2 linked regions of the Callithrix jacchus genome follow. The main gene of each other region encodes a partner of the protein of the gene in region 2 in a complex. Links are inferred from orthologs where the notes say so. Each region holds a gene or a part of one and is shown on either strand. Other genes may lie near its edges.

What was found.
Region 1: the proteins of MDC1 (region 2) and PELI1 are in contact, whole or in part, in a crystal structure (PDB 9IF9), measured with the Homo sapiens proteins. The link is inferred for Callithrix jacchus from reciprocal best matches to the Homo sapiens genes MDC1 and PELI1. Residues at the interface, in NP_055456.2 of Homo sapiens: Glu761, Asp762, Ser763, Glu764, Thr765, Gln766, Pro767, Phe768, Asp769; in NP_065702.2 of Homo sapiens: Arg104, Ser105, Thr106, Glu107, Thr115, Asp116, Val130, Gln131, Ser132, Thr133, Ile134, Ser135, Arg136, Phe137, Thr185, Asn186, Thr221, Arg222, Ser223, Ala224, Cys247.

The regions. Positions count from the first base shown.
Region 1 is NC_133515.1:49,792,261-49,800,892, reverse strand, and holds the start of PELI1 (E3 ubiquitin-protein ligase pellino homolog 1), read right to left. Parts: upstream 4,719-8,632; 5' UTR 4,382-4,718; intron 3,789-4,381; exon of another isoform or gene 3,639-3,788; intron 1-3,638. UniProt on the Homo sapiens protein: E3 ubiquitin ligase catalyzing the covalent attachment of ubiquitin moieties onto substrate proteins. Involved in the TLR and IL-1 signaling pathways via interaction with the complex containing IRAK kinases and TRAF6.
Region 2 is NC_133505.1:35,494,084-35,502,341, forward strand, and holds the end of MDC1 (mediator of DNA damage checkpoint protein 1), read right to left. Parts: coding exon 5,567-8,258; intron 5,484-5,566; coding exon 5,364-5,483; intron 5,237-5,363; coding exon 5,054-5,236; intron 4,828-5,053; coding exon 4,702-4,827; intron 4,613-4,701; coding exon 4,502-4,612; intron 2,925-4,501; coding exon 2,757-2,924; 3' UTR 2,109-2,756; downstream 1-2,108. UniProt on the Homo sapiens protein: Histone reader protein required for checkpoint-mediated cell cycle arrest in response to DNA damage within both the S phase and G2/M phases of the cell cycle.

The sequences.
Region 1 (8,632 bases), on a different chromosome or scaffold from region 2:
TGAAATGGACTTTATGTAGCAAAAAGAATCTGAAACATCTGGTACAACATTCTGAAAAAGCTGTCAATTCTTCTTAGAGTCATTTACAATTCATTTCTGTTAAACTATCAGATGAAGCTCTTTTTCTCTAGGCTTATTTCCAAAGGTAGCTATGCTAATTGAAAGACTCCAGGTTGGGTATGGTGGCTCATATCTGTAATCCAAGCATTCTGGGAGGCTGAGGTGGGCGGATCATAAGGTCAAGAGATCAAGATCATCCTGGCCAACATGGTGAAACCCCAGCTCTACTAAAAATGCAAAAATTAGCTGGGTGTAGTGGCACATGCCTGTAGTCCCAGCTGCTCAGGAGGCTGAGGCAGGAGAATCACTTGAACCTAGAGGGGGTGGAGGTTGCAGTGAGCTGAGACTGTATCACTGCACTCCAGCCTGGCAACAGAGCAAGACTCCACCTCAAATAAAAAAAAAAAGACTCCAATCAGAAGTTTATGTTTTGATTACTTTTTCTATCAAAAAAGAAAAAAAAATAGAAATCCCTGACATTCAAAAAGCATTGTGCCTTCTCTTTATTACCTGTAAATTCATTAAACAACAAAAAGTATTTAGGACCTACTAAACATAATATGTTAGGCAGTTATTTTCAACCTTTGAAGAAAAAATATAAGTGATCTATTTAAGATAACATACCAAAAAAAAAAAAACAAAAGCTAGTGGCAGAACTTGAAATCATATCCAGATCTTTCAGTGACCAATATTTCTTGTCTTGAAGTTGCCACACATTAGTCTGGGGAAATTTTCTATGGCAGAGGTCACACTTGAACTAAGAAAATGTAGTTAAGTACCTCCCCTCCCCCACTACCACAAGTGTAAAAAAAATCTCTAAGAACCCAAGTCCCTTGAAAGAATGACTTCTATTTACATTTCCTGTGTAATATATTCAGAGGGAATCTGGAAAAGATGGCTAGAAATCTATAAACAGAAAGTGCTAACTGGAATTCACTGTTTATAGACTTCAACTAGAATTTTGTCCCTCATATATGAATGTTGCCAGGAATCTTCATATTATATTATTTAAAAACATCTTCATTAGTTTTTTTTCACTTTGTTGATTTTCTTCTGTTTTCCACTGGCTCTTAAATCTGCTTTATTCTCCTCAAAAACATAAATGTAACTTTTGGAATTACACTTTTTTCCCCCTCAAAGAAACTCCTCAAGCCACCTCAGTGCCATCATATATTGGTCACTATGAAATTTTAATATATACTGTTAAATATGTTTGTATAATAAAATAATCCATATAAGCCTTTCTAACTTAATAAATACAGGATAGGTTTACATTGATGTACTATGGTAAAATTATATGTATATGTTAGTTTTCAATTCTAAGTCTTTTGGCTTAAAATCTTTATCAGCTACAGAAGGTTCTGTCTAAAAACATTAGTTGTCCACATGTGTACCTATGAAACTATCTTGCATGTTCTGCACATGTACCCCAAAACCTAAAATGCAATAAATAAATAAATAACAAAAAACATTAGTTGTCCACAAAGCATAATAACTGTCTATAGTCCTTATCACCTGACCTACTAAAAAACCATAATAAATCATATTCTGAAATGACAGAATTCTTAAAATACAAAAGTGACATTCTGACAACCCAGAAAGAGGCTAAAGCTAAATCAAATGGAAACATCCTTGGGCTTCCCCTTTGAAACTTGCCTCAGTGGCATTCAGCAGTACTGGACTAGCTTCCTGTCCCATACTTTTCAGTCATTCCTTTCAGGAGTCTCAAAGAAATTATGAAACTTGCACAGCCAGACTTTGCCAGTCAACACTAACTTCTGCCTGCAGACTCCAGTGACTAAGTCAAGACAGCATTAGTAGCCTCCTTAAAGTACAAATGTCCCTGGTAAATCTGGCTTGCAAATACGACAGAAAAAGTTCAGCATAACCAACAGTAAGAACATTTAAATGCCAATCTTAAGGAAAGGACGGAGTTACTTCCCCTGCAAATTCCACTGAGGCAAATTTCCAGCTTACTTTGTAGAAGTCAATAAATACTACTACTATTACATTACAGCACTTCTACCATGCTAATAAAAAGCTAGGTGATAGTTCTCTCTTTAAAACCTGTTAAATTCACTAGACGAGACATTATACCACTTCACTACATGCAACTTTCTATACATATAACTGTTTTCCTTTCCAATTATTTGTTTTAAACTCAAGATCTCTTTTAACATACCAGAGAGGGAACAGGTTAGGCTGGGGTGGGGGGGCGGACAGGCGGGAATAACAAAATAACGAACATCTCATTTTCATTTTCTGATGCAACCACCAAAATCTAAAATGTAAGGACAAATACACAGTACAACATTAAGAGAATTTAGAGTAGGTGAAATTCACTGTTACTATAGTTCTGATCATTATTCACCTGAGGAAAGAGCTAGTAGAAGTGATGCTTGATTTAATTTTTTGGTACTTTCCAGTTGGTACAGAGAAAATAACAACTCACAAAATAAACAAGGTCCTCAGAGTTAAAGATTTTTCTCCAGAAAAGGTTGTTGGTATAAAAAAAAAAAAAAAAAAAAAAGCATAAGGAGGCTGGGCGCTGTTGCTCATGCCTGTAATCCCAGCACTTTGGGAGGCCGAGGCAGGTGAATCACGAGGTCAGGAGTTCAAGATCAGCCTTGGCCGAGATGGTGAAACCCTGTCTCTACTAAAAATATAAAAATTAGCTGGGTGTGGTGGCGGGTGCCTATAATCCCAGCTACTTGGGAGGCTGAGGCAAAGAAATGCCTGAACCAAGGAGGCGGAGGTTGCAGTGAGCCGAGATCCTGCCGCTGCACTCCAGTCTGGGTGAGACTTGTCGCAAAAAAAGAGAAAAAAAAAACATAAGGAATTCATATGCTGTTAATAAGAACAACATTTTATGTTTCGAGACATGTAAATCTGATCACTCAGAAAATATTTTCTGTTGGCTATAAAGGAAACAGAAAAACTGAAACAACTGAATAACGTGAACATCTTCCGCAATTAAAAAATTTTAAATTCACCCTATTATGAAAACTGAATAATGAATTCATATCTCCTTAAGTATAAGAGTAATACATATTCAACATAGTAAGGGACAATGCCATTTCTGAAACAAAAGATTATGTGCAATGAAAACAAAGTAACATTTTGCAGAGTAAGAAAAAGTAAAGAGTCTGAACTGAAACAGATGACCTTTTCTTATACACAAAGCTTCAGTTTTTAGCACAACCAGCACCTTATGAATAAAGTGCTCAATAATATTTGTTGATATACTGTTTGATGACTAAACGACAGGAATATTGTCGGTGCTGTTAAAACCAAGACACATTTCCTTGTGTGTAGTGATTAAAATCTGTTAAATGTACTGTACATTTTTAAAAAAAACCTCTGCACTCTTTTCCATTCTTGCTCTCTTGCCTCTAAGAGACCTACACGTACAAAAATAAAAGTAGATGGTGACGTGAGTTTATGATTTACATTAATTTCCCTACTCGGAGCATTTTTCAATAAGTCTTTTATGGTTTTAAGATTCGAACGCTATGTAAGAAGAATTATGGTTTGAACTACATAACAATTACGTAGACTTCTTTTGGACTTCAGTTAACCTGTAAGTAAAATGAGCATCTTTAACTTTTCCACGGGGCATTGGAGAACGGGTTCCTCTTCGTAAATGCTTTCATATCCTCAGACACCAGGCGCGGTAGAAGATCAAGCGTATCCATCAGTTAGAGAGCTTTCCATGACCTCAGTTTACCCTCTTAGGGAAACGGGCGTATTAACTTGTTTCCTAGGGAGCCCGGGGGTGAAATTAATTAGCTTGTTTAAAATGCTCTGAGATCCAAAGATGAAAGGAAATGTGAGAGACGCGCATAGATGATGACAACAATCATAGTAAAAAGAATGACTAACTTGGAAGTCTGCGTTATGTAAGGGACAAAAAGAAGTTATCAGATCCTCACAAACAAAAGGGAAACCCACCGCCCCTTTTGTTTCTCCCATTTCCCTTTCCTCGCTACCCGCTGAGCTCTCCTCTCGAAGCTGAAACCGGAGTGCGCGGCCTGCTAGGCGCGGGGCTCGGAGTTGGCCGCCTCGCACCCCGCTCCTAGGCGGAGGGGGAGGCCGCGCAGGGCCGGCTCTTGACAAAGGCGCTTCCTCCTGCCAGGGCGCGGGATGGAGGCGCCCGCCGTAAACTCCGCTCCCCGCCGCCGCGAGGGCGCGCAGGCGGGCGGTGAGAGCCGGCAGACTGGTCGCCGGGGGAAGCCGCCGAGGAAGTTGCACACCCACCCTCCCCGCGCCCCTCGGCGGCTCCGCCGCCATCCATCCCTGGGCTCCCCGCGGCCACACTCACCGGACAATTGCTGGTGGCCGTGATCCAAGCGTGGCCCCCGACACCCGAGGCAAAAGGGTGAAGTGTTGTGCGCGGGGAGCGCGAGCAGACAGCCCGCCGTTTCGCTGCTGCCCTCCGCGCCAGCCGGCCGAGCCCAGTGAGGGGAAGTTGACCGCAGAGCCGAGGGCTGAGGAGCCGCAGACGCAAGGAGAGGTGTGGGGGCTGCTTTGTGATGCGCTCCCCGAGGGCTGGGGACGAATTCCACTGTGCCGCTCGGTTGGCGCTGCTGCTGCTGGTGGCGGCGGCAGCGGCGGCGCCCCCCGACGGTCCGTCCGCCTCACACCACCTCTGGGTCACTGACACACACTCTCAGGGAGGGGAGGGGACTAGCCGGAAGGCGGGGACTGAGGGAGGGGACGGGGCAGTGCCACAGCGGGAGGCGGTGTCGCTGCACCAAATGGGCTCTTGGGAATTGTAGTTCCCCAGCTGAAGAAAAAAAGGGATGCATTGTTGCTCAGCACCCGACCAGGCTCGTTCTGCACTGAGCATGCTCGAGGGCGAGGTTTGGGCCGCCCCTCCCACTGTTACCGTGGTCACACTTAGCGAACGTGTTTAGTGCTGTTGTTGGCTGAACAAGGGCGATCTTGTATTATGGTGCTGCTGTGGATCCAGCTCTTAGCCTGTCCTTCCTACTTCGCTCCACCCCATTCCTAGCCTCACCGCTCATAAGTGCCCAGTGAGATCTAACTTCCTCTCGATATTTCAGTGTTCCCTGCTGCCTAATTTATTTTTCACAAACTCTTAAGTCACAAATACCTCTGTCCCTCGCTTCCCTCAATTGAATCTTCTCTGTCTAAATTCAGTTTTCTTTACCTAACACTTGTAAAAACGTAGTTGATTTCAGTAATTGAACAATTAGGTTATAAAACTTAGGAATATCACCACTATCAAAATCCTGTAACTAATTACTTTGCTCAATTAGTAACATCTAACTTTAGATTAGCAAAGGTAAAGTGCAGAATTAAGATTTCTATATTTTACTTGATTACTATAAAAGAATCCGGATTTGTTCATTTTAAGGCATACAAATTTCATAAAGTATAAGTTCAAAAGACAAGTTGAAAATTGTTGGCCAGGCACAGTGGCTCAAGCCTGTAATCCCAGCACTTTGGGAGGCCGAGGTGGGTGAATCACAAAGTCAAGAGATCGAGACTATCCTGGTCAACATGGTGAAACCCCGTCTCTACTAAAAACACAAAAAATTAGCTGGGCATGGTGGCGCGTGTCTGTAATCCCAGCTGCTCAGGAGGCTGAGGCAGGAGAATTGCTTGAACCCAGGAGGCGGAGGTTGCGGTGAGCCAAGATCGTGCCATTGCACTCCAGCCTGGGTAACAAGAGCGAAACTCCGTCTCAAAAAAAAAGAAAGAAAATTGTTTATATGTATTGGCCAACCTTAGTTTAGTAATAAGTGAAGTCTGAACCAAGGTATGAGTATGTTGCTGGGCTGGTCAGTTAAGTCTACACCCATCTTGGGCACCCAGGTGTGGATGGATAGGTGGTAGGGAAGAGGGTGGAGAAAGGCAGGACACATTACTGGCTCTCCAGAGTGCTGAAGGCAATGCCTCCGGAGCTCTTTTGTTTTCCTTCTCCGCCTACCTAGAACCCCAACCTTTTCTTCCATTAACCTGGAAGAAAAAGGTTAATGCTTAGGAATCAGACACACATTTGGAGCAGAGTTTTCAAATAGAGTCTCAAGATCAGAAATCCTTATATCAACAGACTAGATAATTATACACTCATTCAAAAAATGCTTGTTGAGTGTCTACTTGTGCTAGGCACTGTATTGAGCCCCAGAAATAGAGATACAAGAATGTAAAAGAAACATTCTTAATTTCAAAATGTTTACTATGCAAAGGAGGAGACAGGTAAATAGACCTAATATGAGAATTACTATAAGAGGAAAGTGCACAGCTACTCCCAGATTTGGGCAAAATTAGGAAATGCTTCAAAGATCACTTAAGATAACTAGGAATTAGCATGTTTGTATATTTTGGTAGGGGAGGAGGAAGAGAGAGGTGGGTGAGAGCATTGGGGGTGGTGTTGGGGAGAGCAGCAAGTACATAGACCTAGAGATGTGAGACCAAAACATATTTTGGCTCAGCAAATAGTTCAGCATTGCTGATAGTTGAATGGAGTTGAGGGAGTGACAAGAGGAGACACTGAAAAAGGTAAGCGAGACAGCTTAGGGTAATGAAGAATTTTGCATGATATGCTAAGGAACATGGACTTTTTCCTAGAAACAATGGGAACCACACAAGGATTGTAAGCAGATGAAATTTTGATAAGAAATGCATTTTAGAAAGATCACTCTGTGGAGTATGGCATGTATGGGGCCGGTTACAGTATTACAGGGGAAAAAAACAATGAGAGACTGAGCCAAGGCCTGACAGTGGCAGAAGAGAAAACTGAGGGTAATCAGACACTATTCAAGGGAATAGAACATAGTGACTAATTGCCTATGTTTGGGGTGAAGGGAAAAGGAAAGTTTTGAATTATGATGCTTGTGGTTGAAAGCAGCAGAAAATCCAGCTCTAACTGGCTTAATCAATAAAGGAGATTTATAACCATCTAGCTAGAAAGTTCAGGAAAAAGGCAGGCTATAAGGGTGACTGATTCAACAACTCAGAGTTGTCATTAAAGGCATTTTTTCTCATTTTAATTGTTTTTTTCTTCTTTAGTATTAGCTTTATCTTCAGATGATGGTTGCCAACAACTCCTGTATCTTTAAGTTTCGTTTTTTTGGGTCCAGAAGAGATAGGAAAAAGAATCACCTTTGGAAGCGCTTTTGTAAAGGAAAGAAAACTCCTTTCCCAGAAGCTTCAGTGATTTAATCATATGTCCATATATAAACCAAAAATGGCTGCCAGGAGATGGCACAAGTATAATTATCTTAGGATGAAGACATGAGCCTACCCTTAGAGCCACAGAAGTCAGCTTCTCCCAAAGCTGTGATGAGGTGTATATATCCCAGTGAAAATTGAGCTGATTATACAGAAAAAGAAGCTTGGAGTCTGAGAAGTGGGCTACAGTGTCTACGACAAGGAGGAAGCGAAGGATGGATCCCAGATTTCTGAATTGTGTGCTTATGAGCTAGTGATCAGTTATGTATATGACTCTTGGGCTCTGGAGAGAGATTTGGGCAGTAGAAGATATAATTGGAATATACCATCATATAAATGGCTGTTGAAATTATGGCAATGGATGAGATCACCCATGGAGAGTATGCACAGCAGTAAAAGAAAAGTCAATAATAACAACTTAGAGAACATCAGCACTTAAGGTGTAGGCAGGAAGATTGTGAAAATGCCTGGGAAGTAGCAAGAGAACTAGGAGATAACAAAGAAGCAGGAAAATGTAATTTACAACCAGGAGGAGAGTCAGTCAACATAAAGCCACAAATGACAGAGATGTTAGAATTAGCAGTCAACAACATTAAAACAATTGTGATAAGTATGCTCAGTATGCTGAAAGAGAGAAATTAAAGATATAAAGAATTGAATTTCTAGAATTAAAATGACAACTTCTGAAATAATTTCACTGGATAGGATTAACGCTCAGACGCAGATTAGACACAGAGCAAATTAGAGACACTCAGAAGAAAAGATTAGTGCACTTGAAAACAGCAGTAGAATGTAGCCAAAGGAAAGCAGAGAAAGAAAAAAAATCTGAAAAAATATCCCCCAAAACAGAGCCTCAGTGCTTTATGGGATAACACCAAGTGCTGTAATATTTGTGTAATTGGAGTTCCAGATGAGAGATGGGTCAGATGGTGACAGAAAAATTATTTGAAGTAATAGAGCTGAAAATATTTTCACATTTGATGAAAATTATAAACCCACAGATTCAAGAAGCTCAGTGAGCCCTAAGCAGGGTAAACACACACTCCCAAAAAACACTACAAAAGACATCACTGTTAAATTGTTGAAAACCAATAATATGAAAATGTTAAAAGCAGCCAGAGGAAAAAGGCATAATATGTATAGACGAACAAACACAAAATATCAGTAGACTTCTAATCAGAAACTGTGCAATTCAGAAGACCATGAAAAGCCATTTCCAAAGTGTTGAAAGAAAAAAACCTTCTTCAGAGAGATGCAAATCAAAACCACATTGAGATACCATCTCACGCCAGTTAGAATGGCGATCATTAAAAAATCTGGAGACAACAGATGCTGGAGAGGATGTGGAGAAAAAGGAACACTTTTACACTGT
Region 2 (8,258 bases):
AGTAGCTGGGATTGCAAGCATGCACCACCAGGCCCGGCTAATTTTTTAAATATTTTTAGTAGAGACAGGGTTTCTCCATGTTGGTCAAGTTGGTTTCGAACTCCTGACCTCAGGTGATCCACCCACCTCAGCCTCCCAGTGCTGGGATTACAGGCATGAGCCACCATGCTTGGCTAAGAGCAGGTATTATTTAAATGACTAATTAGAAAAACAATCATGGTAGACCACTTAGTTCATTATTCTAATAAGCCTGTTGATCTGGTCCTCCCTGTTGCCAGCATCTCCACTTTCTACAAAATGGGTGGTCTTTTTCTTCATTCCACCTTGTGGAAAGGATAATCTGAAGGATCACAAGAAGTTATTTGCTTCTTTGAAGCATTTTCCTACAGTATAGATCGCATGAATCAGATCTTCCATGCAGGTGATGCCATATTTACCAAGAGATTGAGCAATCAAGGTGTTATCTGTCAAAGCAATTTGCTTCTTACTGATTTTGCCATAACCACACTGGTAGATTAGTTCATTTACTGACTTCAGATTTGGGTACCTCCATGCAATATATCGTTCTGCAATCCTCAGCATGTTAACTGAAGCCTTGTTAAGCTTCACAAAGGTTCCACTGAAGATTTGACAAAGGCAAAGAAGCTACAACAGCTTTCAGACCTTTGGGCTCAGCATCGATACCTCTGATCCTGATGACAAACATCACTTTGGGTTTTGCAGGTACATAGAAGTTGCCAGCTTTTCTAGCCATCCTTGCCACGTGAATTTCAGTTCTGTCCATTTGCCTATATTCCTTGTGATAGTGCTTTGCTTTTTCATAGATAAGCGATCTTGCTTTTTGAAGCATCTTTTGGGCAAATTTCTTTCTCAGGCCATTGATCTTTGGCTCTGCGAAATTCCTTTGCATTTTAAATTCTGGCCTAGTAGGAACCTTCTTTTTCTTCTCTACAACACCCTAAATGGTTCCAGCCAGAAAAGAGGCTTTTTTTTTTTTTTTTTTGAGACTGAGTCTTGCTCTGTCACCCAGGCTGGAGTGCAGTGGCGAAATCTTGGCTCATTGCAAGCTCCACCTTCCAGGTTCCGGAGATTTTCCTGCCTCAGCCACCCAAATAGCTGGGATTGCAGGCACATGCCACTACACCCAGCTAATTTTTGTAGTTTTAGTAGAGATGGGTTTCACCACATTGGCCAGGCTGGTCTCGGACTCCTGACCTCAGGTGATCTGTCCATCTTGGCCTCTCACAGTTCTGGGATTACAGGCATGAGTCACCACAACCAGGATTTTTTTTTTTATTGAGACAAGGTCTCACTCTCCTGCCCAGGCTGAAGTGCAGTGGCTCAATCTCAGCTCACTGCAGTCTTGACCTCCTGGGCTCAAACGATTTTCCTCTCAGCCTCCCAAGTAGCTGCGACCACAGACATGTGCCACCATGCCAGGCCAATTTTTGTATTTTTGGTAGAGAAGGTTTTGCCATGTTGCCCAGGCTGGTCTTGAACTCCTGAGTTCAAGTGATCCGCCCACCTTGGCCTCCCAAAGTGCTGGGATTACACGTGTAAGCCACTGTGCCTGGCCAGATGTTTAACTTTTTGACGAACCATCAGATCGTTTACCATAGAGGCCAAACCATTTTACATTCCTACCAGCAATGTGTAAGGATTCTAATTTCTCCACATCCCAATTTGGCTGGGCATGTTGGCTCTACTGTAATCCCAGCACTTTGGAAGGCTGAGGTGGGTGGATCATTTGAGGTCAGGAGTTCGAGACCAGCCTGGCCAATCTGGTGAAATCCCGTCTCTACCAAACAATACAAAAAAAAAGAGAAAATATTAAAAATTAGCTGCGCATGGTGGTGGGTGCCTGTAGTCCAAGCTACTTGGAAGGCTGAGGTGGGAGTATTGCTTGAACCCAGGAGGTGGATGTTGCACTGAGCTGAGACAGCACCACTGCACTCCAGCCTGAGTGACAGAGTTAAGTCCCTGTCTCAAGAAAAAAAAATTTAAGAAATGCTATATAATTTGCCCTAAATAGAAGATAATGATGAATTAAATATAAGTCCCTGACTTTGTCTTGAGACCTAGACATTTTTAAAAACTGCACTACAACATAAGGCACAGAGTGAATATTTATTTATCACAGAGGTCAAGCCTAAGGTCTAATTTTATAAGTTCTGGAAAAGCAGGCCAGAAAAGTACAGAGGCTTGCCCAAAGTCAAAGCTAAAGATCCTCCCAGAGACTGAGAGAGAGAAAAATGTTTGAGTAGCACTCTATAACTGGACTTTCATATCTACTCACTCTAAGCATCCCTTCAAGTTCCTGACCCCAAAGTAAGAATCCCAGTAAGAAAACAATAGAGATGGTTTCCAAATAGGAGGTAGGACACCGTGAGTACCAACAAGCAATAACAGTCTGGCTAAAGATAGCTGCCACTTAAGACATCTGAGCATGAAACAAGCTCATTTTAAAATGGCCATTTAATAAATGCATGCAAGAAATCTGCTCTTGTAGCCCCTAAATCTATACAAATAAAAACATACAAGTAGAGATAAAATAAAATGGCCATTAAAAAAAAAAACAAAAACTCTGTGGTCCCAATTGCCTTATCTTTTCATTTATTCATAAATATTTCTGGTCCCACCCTATGTTCCAGGACAAGTCATATCAATATACCCCAATCCTTTCTAACGTCCTAAGTTCTTTCTTCCAAATATCTTCTAATATTTTATTTAATGGAGGTAAAAGGGTAGTGGAGGTCTCAGGTGGATGACATCTCCAAAGGGGAAAGGACAAAGGCCTCTGGCTTGGCTTCCTGCTTCAGCACTCCAGTCAGCAGGAACTCAGGTGAGAGGAGGGGCAGCCCAACCCGTCGTGGAACAGAGCATCGAGGGAAGTCCTGGGAGCATGTGATCACAACTCTCTGAGGCTGGGGAAGACAGAGCAAAAACAAAATTAGGGGTGAAAAAGAATCCTAAAAATGGGTTCTGGACCCACTAACCAGTCTTAGTATCACTAAAATAGTACCTCCTAATATGAAGCCACGTGAAGCATACTGCAAACTGTCTATAAAATATTCTTGCTAGAGGTTGGGCATGGTGGCTCATGCCTGTAATCCCAGCACTTTGGGAGGTCGAGGTGAGTGGATCATGAGGTCAAGAGATGGAGACCATCCTGGCCAACATGGCGAAACCCCGTCTCTACTAAAAATACAAAAATTAGCTGGGTGTGGTGGCGCATGCTTGTAGTCACAGCTACTCTGGGGGCTGAGGCAGGAGAATCGCTTGAATCCAGGAGGGGAAGGTTGCAGTGAGCAGAGATAGCACCACTGTACTCCAGCCTGGCAACAAAGCGAGACTCAGTCTCAAAAAAAAAAAAAAAAAAAGAAAGAAATACTCTTGCTAGAAAGATGAAATCAATTTATTCAAGCTTTTACAATTATCTACAATTTCCAGGAATATGGAACACAGAGGAACAAGATACAACAAGGAGGCAAACTCAAAAATCCATACTGAGGAACATTCTAAAGGAAAAGTGACCCAGTTTCTGCAGGAAATTGATGGTATAATAAAGGCTGGGTGAGTTAAGGAATGCTCTAGAGTAAAGAGAATTCAGAGGGTAATAGATGTGGCAGTATGTGGACCTTATTCGAATCCTGATTTGAACAACTGTATAGAGACATTTTTCAGACAACAGGAGACATTTTATTTATTTTATTTTATTATTATTTTTTTTTTGAGATGGAATTTCACTTTTGTTACCCAGGCTGGAGTGCAATGGCGCAATCTCGGCTCACCGAAACCTCCGCCTCCTAGGTTCAGGCAATTCTCCTGCCTCAGCCTCCTGAGTAGCTGGGATTACAGGCACGCGCCACCATGCCCAGCTAATTTTTTGTATTTTTAGTAGAGACGGCGTTTCACCATGTTGACCAGGATGGTCTCGATCTCTTGACCTGGTGATCCACCGGCCTCGGCCTCCCAAAGTGCTGGGATTACAGGCGTGAGCCACCGCGCCTGGCCGGGAGACATTTTATTAATGGAGTGTGAGCAAATAATCAATAAACTATTGTTAATTTTGTTTTGGATCAATAATGTCACTGTGATTATGAAATAAAATGTACACATTTCTTAAATATGTATACTTAAGTATGTAGGAAGAAATAATATAATATTGGCAGTTTGCTTTAAAATACTTCAGCAAAAAAAAGGAAAAAAAGAAAGAATAAAAAAAAGAAAATACTTCGGCAAAGAAAATCAAAGGAAAAAAGAGATAGATGGAGCAAATGTAATGTAATCTAAACTAAGCTGCTGATTGATGATTGTTAGGGGTATCAGCAGATCTCTCTCCTCATTCCTATCCCTTTCTATACCATAGGTTTTTCCCCCACCCTCTCTCTACTCTATATTCCTTTCTGTACCTCCATTTCCCCCCCCAACCGTTGCCATTCCAGCCACCTCTTTAACTGCCACTGCCACCTCACCCAGACCCAGAGCATCCTAACTATACCTTATAGGACCGAGGCATGCTGGGTAGGACAGTGCCTCCACAGCAGCTGATGATCTCTCCCATCTGAGGTGGTGGTGGCTGGACTCCAGGGGTCACATGGATCTCATAGCCCTAAGAGAAAGAAATGGTGGAGGCAGTAGATGTATGTTGGGAAGCACTGGAGGGAGGGTTGAAGCACCAATCAAAAGATAGCCTCTCACCTCCAGCAGCCTTCGCTCCCGAGCCCGGCTCAGAGCATCTTGAAGGCTAAAGCCAAAGTTCTTCTCTTGCTCAGGATCAGTCACCACATATTCATCCGGGGGTAAGAAGCAACCAGCCTTGCGGGACTAAGGATGGCAGCAGTCAGCATCAAAACTCAGCCCAGCCCCTCACCCAGCTCTGCTGCCTAGCATTTATAGAGAGCTCACAAAATATCTTTTAAATAAATTCAGGCTCCTGCCTCACTAATGTCTCTGTCTTCCTGTAACTCCTCTTCCTCCCTACCATTTTCTAGGGTGCTACATGAGCAGTCTTGTCACTATATTGGTCTGTCATCATCTCTTGGCCTCTCACCTGATGCAGCCAGTCCAGGGAGAGAATGGGGATTCCCCGCCCCAGGGCACACAGGAACTTGACTGTCCGGCGGATTCGATCAGTGACCAGGTGGGAAGCCTCTGCCGCTGAATCAGCCAGACTTCCCCCCAGTGCCAGCACGGCCCGCTCTCCCTGGGCATCCACCACTCCTGTGAAGAGCACCTGTGGAAGGGTTGGCCTGAGGTGGTCACAGCAACCTATGCCATCAGCATCTCTACAGTCCCCGAGGTCTCCTTGTATCCTCCCCTCATCTCTGTCTCCCACAAAGTCTCATGCCCTTGTCTCTTACTTTGGGGGCTGTTGATTCCCGGGTAAATTTGGTCCGTCGGAGGCTGCGGCTCTGTATGCTATTGGGCTCCTCCTCTGCCTGGTCTCTCTTTTTCTTGCCTGGTTTTGGAGTCATGACATCCTGAGATAGAGAAAAATCTTAGTGGGAGTTTCAGAGCCCTGAAGCCCTTTTTCCCAGCTTTGTGGTCCCAGCCTTCTCCTCACCTCTTCTTTCCCTGGCTTCTCTGTAGTATCTTCTAACTCTTCCTTGAGAAACACTGTCTTCTGGGAGACTTCTCTTCGGGGCTGTTTTTGAAGTGGTGGTGAATCCGTGGTAGCAAAAGCCCTCTTGCGGCTTTGAGAGACCTTAGGCTGGGGCTCTGAGGTAAACCTAGATCTACCTACTGCTTCCACCTTTTGGATCTGGGAGGCATGAGTTGGTGTCTCAAGAAGCTGGAAAGAGGCAGGCTCAGGAATGGCTGTAAGGGATTCAGCTTCTCTAACTGCTCCCCATCTTTGGTTCCTTGAGGCCTGGGATTTAGTTTCCAGGGGTGCAGAGCAAGGCTTATGGTCAATGGGAGTTTTGAGGGAGCCAGGATTCCCAATGACTCTCTGCCTCTTGCTGCAACTAGCTTGAGGAATAGGCTCAGGGGAAATAGGCTGATCTGTGGTAACAGGGGACTGGAATTCAAGGGTGGTAGGAACGGACACAGCACTTACTATAGAAGACCTCAGTGTTTTGCTCTGACTACCCTGAGCTATGGCCTCAGGGGTGACAGGCAGGTCTGTGGGGATAAGAGGCTCAAGATTAGAGGCTGCTGGTTCAACTGGTTTGGGAGTCTTGACAGAGGACCTATTTACTCTTCCTCTAGTGGCTCTAGATGTGGGCTTAGGTGTGACAGGCTGGTCTATGGAGGTTGTAGGAAGGGGCTCAGGGGCTGTGGGGACAACTGGTTCAGGGGTCCTGACAGAAGACCCATCTGTCCTGCCCCTAGTGGCCCTAGATGTGGGCTCAGGGGTGACAAGCTGGTTTCTGGAGGTCGAAGGCTGGAGCTCAGGGGCTATAGGGACAACTGATTCAGGGGTCTTGACAGAGGACCTATTTGTCCTGCCCCTAGTGGTCTGAGATGTAGGCTCAGGGGTTACAGGTTGAACTGTGGAGGCAGAAACCTGGAGCTCAGGGGCTGTGGGTACGACTGATTCAGGGGTCTTGACAGAGGACCTGTTTGTCCTGCCCCTAGTGGTCCGAGATGTGGGCTCAGGGGTGACAGGCTGGTCTGTGGAGGCAGAAGCCTGGAGCTCAGAGGCTATGGGGACAACTGTTTCAGGGGTCTTGACAGAGGGCCTATTTTTTCTTCCCCTAGTAGCCTGAGATGTGGGCTCAGGGGTGACAGGCTGGTCTGTGGAGGCAGAAGCCTGGAGCTCAGAGGCTATGGGGACAACTGTTTCAGGGGTCTTGACAGAGGACCTATTTTTTCTTCCCCTAGTAGCCTGAAATGTGGGCTCAGGGGTGACAGGCTGGTCTGTGGAGGCAGAAGCCTGGAGCTCAGAGGCTATGGGGACAACTGTTTCAGGGGTCTTGACAGAGGGCCTATTTTTTCTTCCCCTAGTAGCCTGAGATGTGGGCTCAGGGGTGACAGGCTGGTCTGTGAAGGCAGAAGCCTGGAGCTCAGAGGCTATGGGGACTACTGTTTCAGGGGTCTTGACAGAGGACCTATTTTTTCTTCGCCTAGTAGCCTGAGATGTAGGCTCAGGGGTGACAGGCTGGTCTGTGGAGGTGGAGGCCTGGAGCTCAGGGGCTGTGGAGATAACTCGTTCAGGGTTCTTGACAGAGGATCTATTTTTTCTTCCTCTAGTAGCCCGAGATGTGGGCTCAGGGGTGACAAGCTGGTCTGTGGAGGTGCAAGGTTGGAGCTCAGGGGCTGTGGATACAACTGATTCAGGGGACTTGACAGCGGACTTATTTGTCCTGCCCCTAGTGGTCTGAGATGTGGGCTCAGGGGTGACAAGCTGGTCTGTGGAGGTGCAAGGTTGGAGCTCAGGGGCTGTGGATACAACTGATTCAGGAGTCTTGACAGAGGACTTATTTGTCCTGCCCCTAGTGGTCCGAGATGTGGGCTCAGGGGTGACAGGCTGGTCTGTGGAGGTGGAAGGTGGGAGCTCAGGGGCTACAGGGACAGTTGATTCAGGGGTCTTGACAGAGGACCTATTTGTCCTGCCCCTAGTAGCCCAAGACGTAAACTCATGGGTGACAAGTTGGTTTGTGGAGGTGGAAGGCTGGAGCTCAGGGGCTGTAGGTACAAATGTTTCAGGGGTCTTGATAGAGGACCTATTTGTCTTGCCCCTAGTGGCCTGAGATGTGGGCTTGGGAGTGACAGGCTGGTCTCTGGAGGTGGAAGGGTGGGGCTCAGGGGCTGTGGGGACAACTGTTTCAGGGGTCTTGACAGAGAATCTATTTTTTCTTCCCCTAGTAGCCTGAAATGTGGGCTCAGGTGTGACAGGCTGGTCTGTGGAAGTGGAAGGCTGGAGCTCAGGGGCTGTGGGGACAAATGTTTCAGGGGTCTTGACAGAGGACCTATTTGTCTTGCCCCTAGTGGCCTGAGATGTGGGCTTGGGAGTGTCTGGATGGGTTGTGGAGGTGGAAGGCTGGGGCTCAAGGGCAGCTGAGGTAGCTGGAAAGGGTGTCATCCTGGAGGACTTCTGAGTTATGATCTTAGGCTTTGGATGAAAAGGCTCCAGCTCTGAGGACAAGGGAGTCCCTGGAGCTTCCCGATTCCCATTTTGCCTGGTCTTAGGAATGGTTGGCTCGATAGAAGGTGGAAAGGGAGAAAGAAGGGGCTGAGGTGCAAGACGTTTCTGGCTCTGAGAGTTAAGGGGCTTTAGGGGTGGGGCTGACGTTTCAGGCACTGTAGGATGC